2 linked regions of the Drosophila melanogaster genome follow. The protein of the gene in region 2 purifies or fractionates together with the protein of the main gene of each other region. This does not show direct contact. Each region holds a gene or a part of one and is shown on either strand. Other genes may lie near its edges. The genes, in order: rod and Zw10.

Region 1 (7,869 bases), on a different chromosome or scaffold from region 2:
ATCTCTGCGACCAGAGCGTTAATATCCACTTTGCTGGACTTGAGGATCAGCTCATGGTGGTAGAGCGCCTGAATAAGCTCGGTGGGGTTCTCAACTTGGCGCAGTAGCTTCTCATCGGTCAGGCCATAGACATACAGCAGGTGCTGGGTCTTCTGAATAGGATACCGTCGCTTCACCTTGGCAACCTGCTCGCGACTCTTTGGATCTGTAATCAGGTGGCCCTTCTCCTTGACAAACTTCCAGCACTCGTAGGAGGCCTCCACCTGATCGGCTCCATCACGAGCATAGTTGGACACGAAGTACAGTATTAGAAATGCCTTGTTTGGGTTGTTCACCTTCTCGACCAGTCGTAGTATTGACTGCAGGAAGGCATTATTCGTGGGATGAAGACTCCATGATTCCGAATCATTTTTCGACTTGTACTCCGATATCGAATTCTTTACTGCTGACATGCAGAAGTAGTCACAGTTCTGGGAACTATCCTTGGATCCCTTCAAAGCCGTGTACATCTGAATCAGTGGAAACCAGCTTTGGCAGTTGTCCACGTTTAGTTCGCTGTCTGAATAGAAGAAGCGGAAACTATAATTAAACAGAAGCATTAAGCATTAAACTATTTCAGTTGAATATACCAAGAATATCCTTAAGAGGTTGCTCTACGATGGGCTTAAAAGGCAGACGATATCGAGATATCTTCGGCATAACGCCATTTTCCCTTTGTGATTTCAGCCACGTGTCGGTTTCCACCTGACCTGGCCGATTGCGTCTTCTGGTGATCATCTTGTGTCTCAGGAAGTGCAAAATGTTCATCCAGATTTCCATTTCCTTCGGAGCCGAATCGAAGTACATTAGGATGTTGATCACACACATGTACAACTCGTAGAAGTAAATGTTGATCTAAACGATTTGCAAAGATATTAAAAAAAAGATTATTTGTGGCATCAGTGAGCTTACGTCTTCAATAAAGTGTTTTAACTTGGAAGTAAAGAGCTCGACATTATTGATTTCATTAATGTACGGTTGGCACATATCGCGCATTTCCTGGGCGCTGCTTAGCATAACCAGTTCCTCGTCGCCGAAGGTATCCCTCTTCACCTCGAAGCGCAACTCCTGGGCGCTCAATATGCTTAGTATCTGGGTAATAAGAATCTTTTGGTAGTCGAACCCAAAGTCCTTGCTCATGCGTTCCAAAAGCTGAACGTCAAGTTGCTTATTGTGAAACTCCTTAAGCAGGTCCTCTATGTTGTCCATGTCGGCATTGAACTTGCCCTTTATTCTATGATCCTGTTGGCAAAACTCCAGGTAATAGAAGAGTTTCAATCTCCTGCAAACCAATAAAACGAAGTTTAACATCTAGACTTTTAATGTAATACTTCACTTACTTGGTGCGTATCATGTGCACACTGTCCAAGTCTTCGATATGCTCGTGGTACATGGCGGATAGTGTCAGGAAGTTGATTTTTTGCAGATCGGTCTTTACTTCAACGGAGAGCTTCTCCAGCAGCGCTAGTGCCTCGCTGTCCACCACCAACATGGTGAAAAGCTCTATGAAGTTCACATCTTTGCTCCCCATCGCATTTCGGAATATGCGGCGCAGCTGCAGCGTAATAAAGCCCTCGTTGATGATCCGCTTCGTGCGACAGTTTTGCTTCTGGAAATCCAGCAGATATTGCGACATAACGTACCAAGCGTCGTGCTCCTTCACCTTCGTCAAGTGCTCCAGTGACAGAAAGAAGTCAGCGCAAGCACTTTCGACATCCGCTTTTGTGTTCTCCGGCAGTTCATTGCGAACCTGCATCAGCAATGAGTTGTTTGGCTCCGTTTCGATTACCATAAGCAACAGAGTGCGAGCCAAGAACTTCACTATTGCCATGCGACCTCCGACGCTTTTCTTCGAAGACAACAGAAAGCATTATAACTATAGTCAATTATAGCTGTCTACGATCAATACCTTCTGAGGCTGCTGCTGGATAGGCTGCACTTCTACTTCATCAAACATGGACACCGAGTAGCGCTTCTTCGTAGTCGTTGGAACCGTCAGAGTCTTCACGTCAAAGGATCCGTTAAGAGCACAACTGAAGTTTATTGTGGTTTCGCCCAGGGCTACCGAAATCCCATCGAGGGCCCGGCAGATGTGCTCGTTGACGGCCTGCTCCTTGCCGTCGTAGTGACTCTTAATGGCGTCTAGCGGGTAGTGGATTACGGCCACGCGTATGTATTTGATGAGTTCAACTAGATCGTGACGACGGCTGCTCTCGTGGAGCAGGGCGGAGGTGAGCAACTCGTACGCTAAATAAAAGCTAAGCGGATCGTTTTCATTGATCAACTGCAGGGAGGAGGCCGTTTCTGCAAAACATAAATGGATTTTTCGTTCAATCCCATTGTTGCATAGCTGTATACGACTTACCCTGATTCTTTCCCTTGGCGCTTTCAATTTGCTGAACCAGCAGCTCAAGTGCAAGATTGACGAACTCGCCTGCATTGGCGGGCACACAGTCGACGAAGCTTACAACATGATAAGCGAGGGCGCAGCTGAGGGGCAGGCATCCAATGCGTTGGCAAATGCGGTGCAAACCAAATACTTTCGGAAGACCGAGAGCGGTACACAGTTCGCTTATTTCGCTGGCTATGAATGCGGACACATTCAGCGTGGCCTGGGCCCGCTCAATTATCCTTTCAATGGCCTCATCCAGAAGGCAATGACGTCTGTGCAGCGGTATCAGCTCGCTGCTGCAGCTCAAAAGGATGCCGAATTTCCTTAGGCGGAAACGATGCTTGATCACTAGGTAGCGGCGCTCATAAACGGACTCAACATGCGGCAAGAACAACTTAAAAAGCTCAAGGACGTTCAGGTGCTCCTGCACTTTAATATCACTTTCAAACGAAGCAGAGGAGCTGTTCTCCAAGATGTTAGCCATGATCTCCACCACTTCCTTCGCGCTCTTCGAATTTTTCTCACCATTCAGCTTTTTGAAGAATTCATAAGCCATCTCAACTTGTCCTCTCCGTGCCATTTGATAGCAGCAGTTAAAGTTGGCACTAGTTGATAACTCCGGCGCCGCCTTGGTGAGGGCGCTGATGTCGTCCAGCATGTCCGGAAGGTTCAACTTCACAATGCGCATCATGAAAAGCTCCAGGTTGATATCGGAGCTGTCGGCCGGCCAGCCGTACTTGACCTTCATGATCTTAATCACCTGAATCTCATACTCGGCATTGATCTTCACGGCCAATGGATGAGTGGAGGCACGCAGCCGGATTAGAGGAGCTAGTGTATCAGGCCAGGGCACAGGTGCGTTTTGCAGCACAGACAAGGCGCACTCCAAACGGCTGTCTTCGTTGTGAAGCAGCTCAATGCAAGCCATCGCCCGATCCAGCCATGAACTAGAAGATAGCCGACTGGCTACTAACTGTGATATGTACTGTTTAATCACGTCCAGTGGCTGCCGTCCCTTCTCCTGGAAGATCGGGTACATGAAGTTCTTCACCAGACGCTGAAGCTTATCTAGTTGAACGTGTTGCAAAATGCTCAACGCAGTGGCGTCGATGGAATCCTGCATGTAGTTGTCCAGTGTAAAGCCCATGTTATAGTTGGTCTTAAGCACAGAAAGATCCTGCAGTGCGTTGACAAGATCCCGCAGTTTTCCAACGTTGCGCTCTTGCTGACGCCGCACATCGCTGAAACGGATATACAAGTTAAATCTATCATATTTTAGGGCGAAAAAAGGATTTGCCTACGAGTAAGTAAACTGGATTTCCTCAAAAATGTCCAGTATCTTTGTGCAGAACTCCAGGCCGATATCCGGCCAATGCGGACTATACTGCAGATTCCGCGTCATCTCAATACTCCAGTCAGTGATAAAGGGCATTATGCTAGGATGGGTGTTGCTGACCATCGGAATGAACTGACGCAACCACTGGACAACGTTGAAGGGCTTGGTGTTGCTCGGAATGAACCCTAAAAGCGTGCGCAACTCATCTTCGTTTAGCAGCGGCAGAATGCTGCTCGAATGCCGCCGCCAAATGAGACAAGCCGTGGGCATATCTGTGTTGAATAGCGACTTGACCATCCTGACCAAGTTGTTATCGTAAATAAACTTCTGCCAATCCGTGTTGCATTCGTAGGGATCTATTATGGCCAGAGTTTTAAGTCGGTGCAGTTGCTCGTCGATTTCCAACATATCCTCCTCGTCGTCCTCAAAAGTCAACCGCTTCTTGACCTCGTGAAGATACCGCTCAAGGATGTGCCTCGAGTTCAAGTTGATCATGCGATGGCTCTTTATGAATGCCTTACTTTCCACCTGAGACAGCAGTTGCAGCAAGTCTTGGAATTTAGTGTCCACGTTTTGTGAATTCGAGTTGCAAAGCTCGACCAAAATGCGTTTCGCTTTGGCTTCATAGATGGGCTGGAGGCACAGCTCAAACTGCTTGCCAAATTCCTGTTGCAAATGTTAATGGATAATGAATGACTAAGAGATCAATTATACTCAATACCTCAGCCTCCTCCAGTCGCCCCTTGCAAATCAGCTTCTTAAAACGATCACTGGGGTCGGTCTCGGAAACGAGCATCATCTCCACCACGGAGGGTATGCTGCTCTGGTTGACTTCCTTGGCAGCCAGATAATACAGATTGACCGCACACTTAGGCTGACGCACAAGCCATGCGTGATCAGGAACTTCTACCTCGTTCTTCACATTGAGCGCTGCAATGACACAAGGTTTTTAGCCTTACTGTATGTTTATGTTTTATGTTTGCTGGACTCATACTTGGGTACTCCACTATCTTAATGAAGCGTCCCTCCGCCGTTGATTTCGTCAGCACCAGAAGCTCAATGTTATCTTCGCTGCACTCCATAACCAGCAGATCCTCGATGAGCAGATTTTTTTGTTGGGTAGTTTGACACATGTACACTGTGCGAGTGTATGGACAAATCTCCACCAAGTGGCCGGAATCGGTGAGTGCGATACTGCAAAACCCAGATACACGTTAGAGGGATTCTAGCACCACAATAAGCAAACCCACTCACATATAGTGTTCCAAGTTGAAGATCTGCTTTAGGCTGCCGTACTGAGCGGGCAAATTTATTCGTGTCACGTCATTGGCTGCATTCCTAAAGTTCATAGTGCTTTGATCTCCAGTGATAACTAGACCGGGTTGCGCCTCCAGATCATCCTGATTGTTCTCGGCACTGATGTTGCCGGTCAGCAGCCGCTTGAGCAGCACTGCACAGTCCACGCTGCACGAGGATCTGCCCTTGGAAAGACGTTGAATGGTGACGTCCTCGAGCAGGGCCTTTTCGCAAGCTATAGTTTCGTTTTCATTCAGGCTCATATTGCCTAACGTTTCCAAGCAGGTCTCATCAATGTCGCTTAAGCTACACAGCGTTTGAATCGTTTAATGAAATAATGTCAAGATCCAGTTTTATCACGCATATGCCAGAGCCCATCTCTGTGAATGGCTTACCTATAGATGCTTCCATTCTTACAGGTGAAGTAAAACCGCTGATCCAGTTGATGGATGCTCCGGAAGGTCCCGCCAGTTAGGCTCACGTCCTCCAGATTGACGGCCACGCTGAACAGGAGCAGGCCCTTGATGAACACTCCGTGAACTTCGCCATCGCTGAGGCCGCATACAATCAGGTTGCCGCTTGAAGAAATGGCAATGGCCTCAATGGCTGCCCCGAATGCCAGAAAGCTGCACTTGGCCACCAGTTCGTCCTCCAGGAGCAAAAGGCTCTTGTCGATGCCAATGACCATCTTGCCGCACTGCACGGAGGCCATGACATCTGGATATTTGTTTACCTGACAATGAAAGAAGGCGAGCGTAGAAACCCAACTGCAGATTCTGCACAATAAGGACTCACTTCCTCTTCACTGCTTATTTGGAAGATGCCTCGCGACGAAAATATGTTGGAGATGGTTTCGTCCTCCAGGGAGGACGCCTCGAAGTTGCTCCACATTGCTGTTCAATCCGCTCTAGCCTAATGTGCAAAACCTGCCAATTTTAAACTCTTTATTTAAACACCGCCAATAAACAAGCGTCGCCTGAGAGTTTGCCGATAACATTACCCGCATATCGATAGACGATTGGCGGCATGAAGACACACTACGTATTGACCTTGGGGCTAATACGTTTACGCAATTTATATTTATTACTTAAATGACGTATGTCCAAATCGTAATTTCTCCTTTAAACCTATTACTTTTTAAATGTTAACGTAGTTGCAAACTACTTCGTGCTGGCTTGCTTTGGCCACACTGAGCCGCCGACGGAATTCCGGCATTTCTCTTGACGTGCGCAAACGGTCACACTGGCGGACTTGCAATGAAAATTATTTATATTTCGCTTCTTCGCACGCAAAAATTGGTCAAAATAAACAAAGGTTAATGTGCTGCTGCTATATAACGGTTCAGTGGTCAGTCCGCCGGACCGCCGAATCCGCGTAACGGTAATCCGTGCGTGTGCCGCTCCTATAAACGGCGCTAATTAAAAGTGGATGCTGCAGTGGCCATCAAATCAACAAAAAGCCAACCGAAAACGCAGGCTTCACAAATCGCGTAAACCCTAACACAATTTCCTTGGGAAATAACCGCCGGTTGTTTTGTTTTCCGATTAAAGACAAACGCAAAAAGAACCCGTAAATAAACAACAGTTAAGCGCTGCACTGCAATTAAAACGGAACGGGAAGCGCAGCGGAGGACATAAAATCGCTGGCAAGAAGAAGAGCGCTGCCAGAAAGCGCCCTTTGAAGGGTTTATGAAGGGGAATTAGTGGCAAACCGCAGTGCAGAGTGCTAAAAAAACGAACTCCTGACCTGAAGTGATCAAGGATCAGTAAGAAACTGAGAAGCGGCAGGTGCTTGGCGCTTTGAAACGAGACAACACGACGCTGGGTTTCCAGGGTAGAGTTGCCAACCCGAAAAATAAGCGGGGTTGCCGTTCGTTGCGCCGAAAGTGTTTACCTGCGTTTTGGGAGTCAGTTGCTTTAAAAACGCGATTTTCATAAGGGTCCTGGCCAGGAGATGTCTTGGTGAGTAGTTGAGGAGGACTGACCCACAGGATGCCAGATACTCATTTGGCACCCTTCACACTCCCAGGAACTCAAACTCCAGGCGGTCGCAGGCCGGATAACCGGCAGAAAGCCCAAGCCCACCAAGCATAACCCATTGTAGTTGGTCACCGAAGGATCCAGTGGATTTGTGCCCACCTCCCTAGGGACATCAGAACCAAACCCACTCCTTTACCAGCGTCGAGATCTCCTGCGCGGGATTGGCGACGCCGCTACAACCGAATTTCTTGCCCCACGCCGTTGAAGAAAAGCTGCCACCATTCGGAAGAAGAACACCTCGAATATGACCCACAATCTTGGTATGGCGCCATATCGATTGCCGGGTCCAGCGGGCGGACTCTGTCCGCCCGATTTTAAGCCGCCGCCTCCCACGGACATCATCTCGGCGCCGAGCAATCCGAAGAAGCGGCGAAAAACCTCAAGTGCCGCCAACTCCGCTGCAGCGGTGGCTGCGGCGGCGGCTGCAGCAGCTGCTGCGAATTCCATGCAGCAGCAGCAGGCGCCACCCACACCGCAGGATTTGCTGCCCCCTCCGCCAATGGGAGGCTTCGGAGACACCATTATTGCCTCGAATCCATTCGACGACAGTCCCCAGGTGTCGGCGATGTCCAGCTCAGCGGCCGCGGCGATGGCGGCCATGAATCAGATGGGCGGCGGACCAGGAGGTGGTCACTTTGGCGGCGGTGGACCGGGTGGGCACCCGCACTGGGAAGACCGCATGGGCATGGGCGGTGGACCTCCTCCCCCGCCTCACATGCATCCCCATATGCACCCGCATCATCCAGGCGGACCTATGGGTCACCCAC
Region 2 (4,799 bases):
TCAATTTTCAAGCCAGTGGCTAAATGATAGATACTCACATCCCAGGGCATTGATCACGTTGCCCAGGGCCAGAAGACCCTTATTGATGTTCACACCCTCTTTGAACCGATCGCCGCTGGCTAGGGTCTTTGAGCAGCGTTCAGAACCAGCCAGATCCACCAGGTTGAACCTGGACGTGGTAACGGATTGCCTATCGGAGATTGGAGGTCAAATGTGTATAAGCATTAAGTATTCTAACGAGGTGATGGCGGCCCACAACATACTTGCCGTCCAGCTTGGTGGCTACTAGCGTCAATGTGAATATGGCATGGGATCTTGAAGAGGTTTCATTCATAGCCGTGGCGGCCACAGCCCGTCCGGCTGAGCCGCGGATCAGATGATCGGTCACTTGCTGGGCGGATGTGACCACTAGCTCGGTGAGGCCCGGCATGATAATACGGTTCTTGACCTCCCTGATGTCTACGGTGGCCTTGTCCCGAGTTTTCGACGAAAAAAGGTCATAGAACTGCTCCTGGTAGAGCTCCACAAAAGAGCATGTGACAGCAAAACGAAATTCGCTCTGCATTTCCGCAATGGCTGTGAATATATCATGAACGGCGCGTGGTATAACGCCCACATGGTCATCTAACACTCCGTTGAAGGCGGTGCCCATAGTGTAGGTCTTTCCGGAACCCGTTTGTCCATATGCCAAGATTGTTACGTTATAGCCATTTAACAGCTTTTTCACTTTGGCCTGTACACACGTCTCGAATAGATCCTTTTGCGAGTCGTCAATGTCGAAGACATAGTTGTACGTATACGACTCATTCCGGTTGACTGTAACCTGTGGCGCTCCATCCGCCGATCGTTCGACGGCAATCCGGCAGCCGCGATCCAACTCGGACTGCACCAAGGGGCGCACGCGCAAGGCCACTGCCACACAGCTGGGATCCTCGCTGGACATCTGGGGGTAGGGGGAGGGAAGGACAATCATAACATTCCATCACCTTTACCGCCATCTCGACCAACACCACCAACCACTTACCTTCTCTGGGGCACAGCAAGTCCGACTTTGGTTAACTGATCAACTGGTTAGCACTTACAAAAACTTAGAATTTTGGTTGGTCTAGATTTTGGAGCAACGCGGCTTCTCCACGCGCAGCCCGGCACTCTCAATGAATTCGATTTTTGGATCAAGGAACTAAACTAATGAAACGCGACGCTAAGAAGCAAATGCATTTCTGCCAGTATTTTTAAAAATGGCGTTGTTATCGATTCGTTGCAGATGTCGATTAGTGGCGCGATCGACGGAGGTGCCGGTGTAGAAAGATTTCGATTTTTTTATAATTTGGCTCTTGAATAGCACATTTGCAAAAATGTGGTTGGACGATTTGTGCACGCCGATTTGACAAAATGAATCATTGACAGTGTATCTACATACTTATACATAAAAATAAAAGCTACCTAGATCTACAACTATTTTAGCTACTGCCAGTGATAAGAGCCCAATTCTTGTCAACTAGCCAATTCGCCGATAGCCGATAGCAGACAGCCGCACATATCTATCGCTTTTTTGAACAATCGTTGGTAGCAACAGGGAATTGCAGAAACCAGTTGTCTTGGGTTTCGCAAGAATTGGAAAAGGAGGATCTGGTCAAAGAGCAGGACATGGAGGAAGAGGCGCCGCGGTTCAATGTGCTGGAGGAGGCGTTCAACGGCAATGGGAACGGGTGCGCCAACGTGGAGGCCACCCAATCGGCCATATTAAAAGTGCTGACGCGCGTTAATCGCTTCCAGATGCGCGTCCGCAAGCACATCGAAGACAACTACACGGAGTTTTTGCCCAACAACACGTCGCCGGACATATTTCTGGAGGAGTCGGGGTCCTTGAATCGCGAGATTCACGACATGCTCGAGAACTTGGGTTCCGAGGGACTGGACGCCTTGGACGAGGCGAATGTCAAGATGGCGGGTAACGGCAGGCAGCTGCGAGAGATCCTTTTGGGTCTGGGTGTCAGCGAGCATGTGCTAAGGATCGACGAGCTGTTCCAGTGCGTGGAGGAGGCCAAGGCCACCAAGGATTACTTGGTGTTACTGGACCTTGTCGGTCGTTTGAGGGCTTTCATCTATGGCGATGATTCCGTTGACGGGGACGCGCAGGTGGCCACGCCAGAGGTTCGACGCATCTTTAAGGCTCTCGAGTGCTACGAGACCATCAAGGTGAAATACCATGTACAGGCATATATGCTGCAGCAGAGCCTCCAGGAGCGCTTCGATCGCCTGGTGCAGCTGCAGTGCAAATCCTTTCCCACATCGCGTTGCGTCACCTTGCAGGTGAGCCGGGATCAAACGCAGCTGCAGGATATTGTGCAGGCTCTCTTCCAGGAGCCCTACAATCCGGCGCGCCTCTGCGAATTCCTGCTGGACAATTGCATAGAACCGGTGATCATGCGCCCAGTGATGGCCGATTACAGCGAAGAAGCCGATGGTGGCACCTACGTTCGATTGTCGCTTTCCTACGCCACCAAGGAGCCCAGCTCAGCGCAGCTTCGCCCGAACTACAAGCAGGTCTTGGAGAACCTCAGGCTGCTGCTGCACACGCTGGCCGGGATCAACTGCAGTGTGTCCAGGGACCAACATGTTTTTGGCATTATTGGCGATCATGTGAAGGATAAAATGCTGAAATTACTGGTGGACGAGTGCCTGATACCAGCTGTGCCCGAAAGCACGGAGGAGTATCAGACATCCACGCTGTGTGAGGATGTCGCCCAGCTGGAGCAGCTGCTTGTAGACTCATTCATCATCAATCCCGAGCAAGATCGAGCCCTAGGGCAGTTTGTAGAGAAGTACGAGACCTACTACCGCAATCGGATGTATCGTCGAGTTCTGGAAACGGCGCGGGAGATCATCCAGCGCGATCTGCAGGACATGGTGCTGGTGGCGCCCAACAACCACTCAGCCGAAGTGGCAAACGATCCCTTCCTCTTCCCACGCTGCATGATCTCGAAAAGTGCTCAGGTAAGTCGTTCGCTAAACGAAACGATTGATTACGCACTAATGGATTCATTTTCGCCGGCAGGACTTTGTCAAACTAATGGACCGCATTCTTCGCCAGCCCACGGATAAACTGGGCGACCAAGAGGCCGATCCCATAGCCGGCGTCATTTCCATCATGCTGCACACCTACATCAATGAGGTGCCCAAGGTGCACCGCAAGCTGCTCGAGAGCATTCCACAGCAGGCCGTCCTGTTCCACAACAATTGTATGTTCTTCACACACTGGGTAGCGCAGCATGCGAACAAGGGCATCGAAAGCTTGGCGGCGCTGGCCAAGACACTGCAGGCCACCGGTCAGCAGCATTTCCGCGTGCAGGTCGACTACCAATCCTCCATCCTGATGGGCATCATGCAGGAGTTCGAGTTCGAGAGCACGCACACGCTGGGCTCTGGTCCACTGAAGCTGGTGCGTCAGTGCCTTCGCCAGCTGGAGCTGCTGAAGAACGTGTGGGCCAATGTGCTCCCGGAGACCGTGTACAATGCAACCTTCTGCGAGCTAATCAACACATTTGTCGCCGAGCTAATCCGTCGAGTGTTCACGCTGCGCGACATTTCCGCACAGATGGCCTGTGAGCTGAGCGATCTCATTGACGTGGTGCTCCAGCGGGCGCCCACGCTTTTCCGCGAACCAAACGAGGTGGTCCAGGTGCTCTCTTGGCTTAAGCTGCAGCAACTGAAGGCCATGCTGAACGCGTCGCTCATGGAGATCACAGAGCTGTGGGGCGACGGCGTCGGCCCGCTGACCGCCAGCTACAAGTCGGATGAGATAAAGCACCTAATCAGGGCGTTGTTCCAGGATACGGATTGGCGGGCCAAGGCCATTACGCAGATTGTATAGGGCGCGTGCGCCTTTTTTGCGAGCGAGGAATGTTGAACGGCGGATAGACATCACATTTGAGGTGGTAAACGGAGTCTAAATTTGATGATCACCATCAATGTGTCCTTACTTTAATTCCTTGAATTGTTTACCACAAATGCCAAAAGTAATAGAATTTGATAATCTTTAATTCTCCGAATGGTTTCTGTTGTACATAGAAAAGTAATTATCCACAAAAATCCATTCCATTCTTCCCGCAACGCAACACAATATTTAACTTAAGACTTATTTAAATGAATAAAAACAACTAAATCCCATTAGTGCGCCTCTTGTCGCGCTTGTAGAACGAGCATGTATAGCTGCTCAGTAAGCAGTCTGTGATCTCGGCCGTGGGTGACGGTTAGGATGCGTTGGGCCTCCTCCAGATGGTGCAGTGCCTCCTTGGAATGGCCCTCGTAGAGCTGAATCTTGCCCAGCTTCATGTGAAGCAGGCCCAATAGCGGATTCCAGGGTCCGTGGTATTTTCGAAAGCCTGGCAGCAAACGTTGCCCGTAATCCAGGGCGTCGCTCCACTTGCCCACTTCGATGGCTGCTTCGAAGGCCGCATCGAGCGTCTTGACGTACCACACATTCAGGGGATGGAACACGCCAGTCTGCTTGTCCAGACACACCTTGCACACATCGAGATCTGTGATCGAGAGAGTGAAAATGTGCTTATTATGGAGCTAATTCCATTTCGTCGCATCTACTCACAGGCCACGTCCTTCATGTTCTCCAGATTGTGCCGGGTCAGAGTCATCGCCTCGTTGAAGGCATTTCTCAACTTGGGACTGATGCCGGCATCGCATCGCGGGCAATTATTGCGGTCCACACTGATTCCCGCACCGCAGTTGCGATTGGGACACAGGGCAGCCAGCATCTCCTTCGATTCCTTGGCATCCGTGCA

Evidence for each region.
Region 1: the proteins of Zw10 (region 2) and rod purify together in Drosophila melanogaster (affinity purification with western blotting; 5 studies listed by BioGRID, with this or other methods). This does not show direct contact.

The regions. Positions count from the first base shown.
Region 1 is NT_033777.3:31,579,108-31,586,976, reverse strand, and holds the start of rod (rough deal), read right to left. Parts: upstream 6,027-7,869; 5' UTR 5,955-6,026; coding exon 5,859-5,954; intron 5,797-5,858; coding exon 5,459-5,796; intron 5,370-5,458; coding exon 5,022-5,369; intron 4,962-5,021; coding exon 4,762-4,961; intron 4,698-4,761; coding exon 4,489-4,697; intron 4,434-4,488; coding exon 3,733-4,433; intron 3,673-3,732; coding exon 2,405-3,672; intron 2,344-2,404; coding exon 1,949-2,343; intron 1,889-1,948; coding exon 1,380-1,888; intron 1,322-1,379; coding exon 952-1,321; intron 895-951; coding exon 630-894; intron 560-629; coding exon 1-559. Other genes in the region: pygo (pygopus), read left to right, coding at 7,347-7,869.
Region 2 is NC_004354.4:2,602,656-2,607,454, forward strand, and holds Zw10 (Zeste-white 10), read left to right. Parts: upstream 1-1,541; 5' UTR 1,542-1,647; coding exon 1,648-2,997; intron 2,998-3,058; coding exon 3,059-3,874; 3' UTR 3,875-4,169; downstream 4,170-4,799. Other genes in the region: Klp3A (Kinesin-like protein at 3A), read right to left, coding at 39-190, 264-943; Smyd3 (SET and MYND domain containing, class 3), read right to left, coding at 4,171-4,541, 4,607-4,799. UniProt on the Drosophila melanogaster protein: Essential component of the mitotic checkpoint, which prevents cells from prematurely exiting mitosis. Required for the assembly of the dynein-dynactin, Mad2 complexes and spindly/CG15415 onto kinetochores.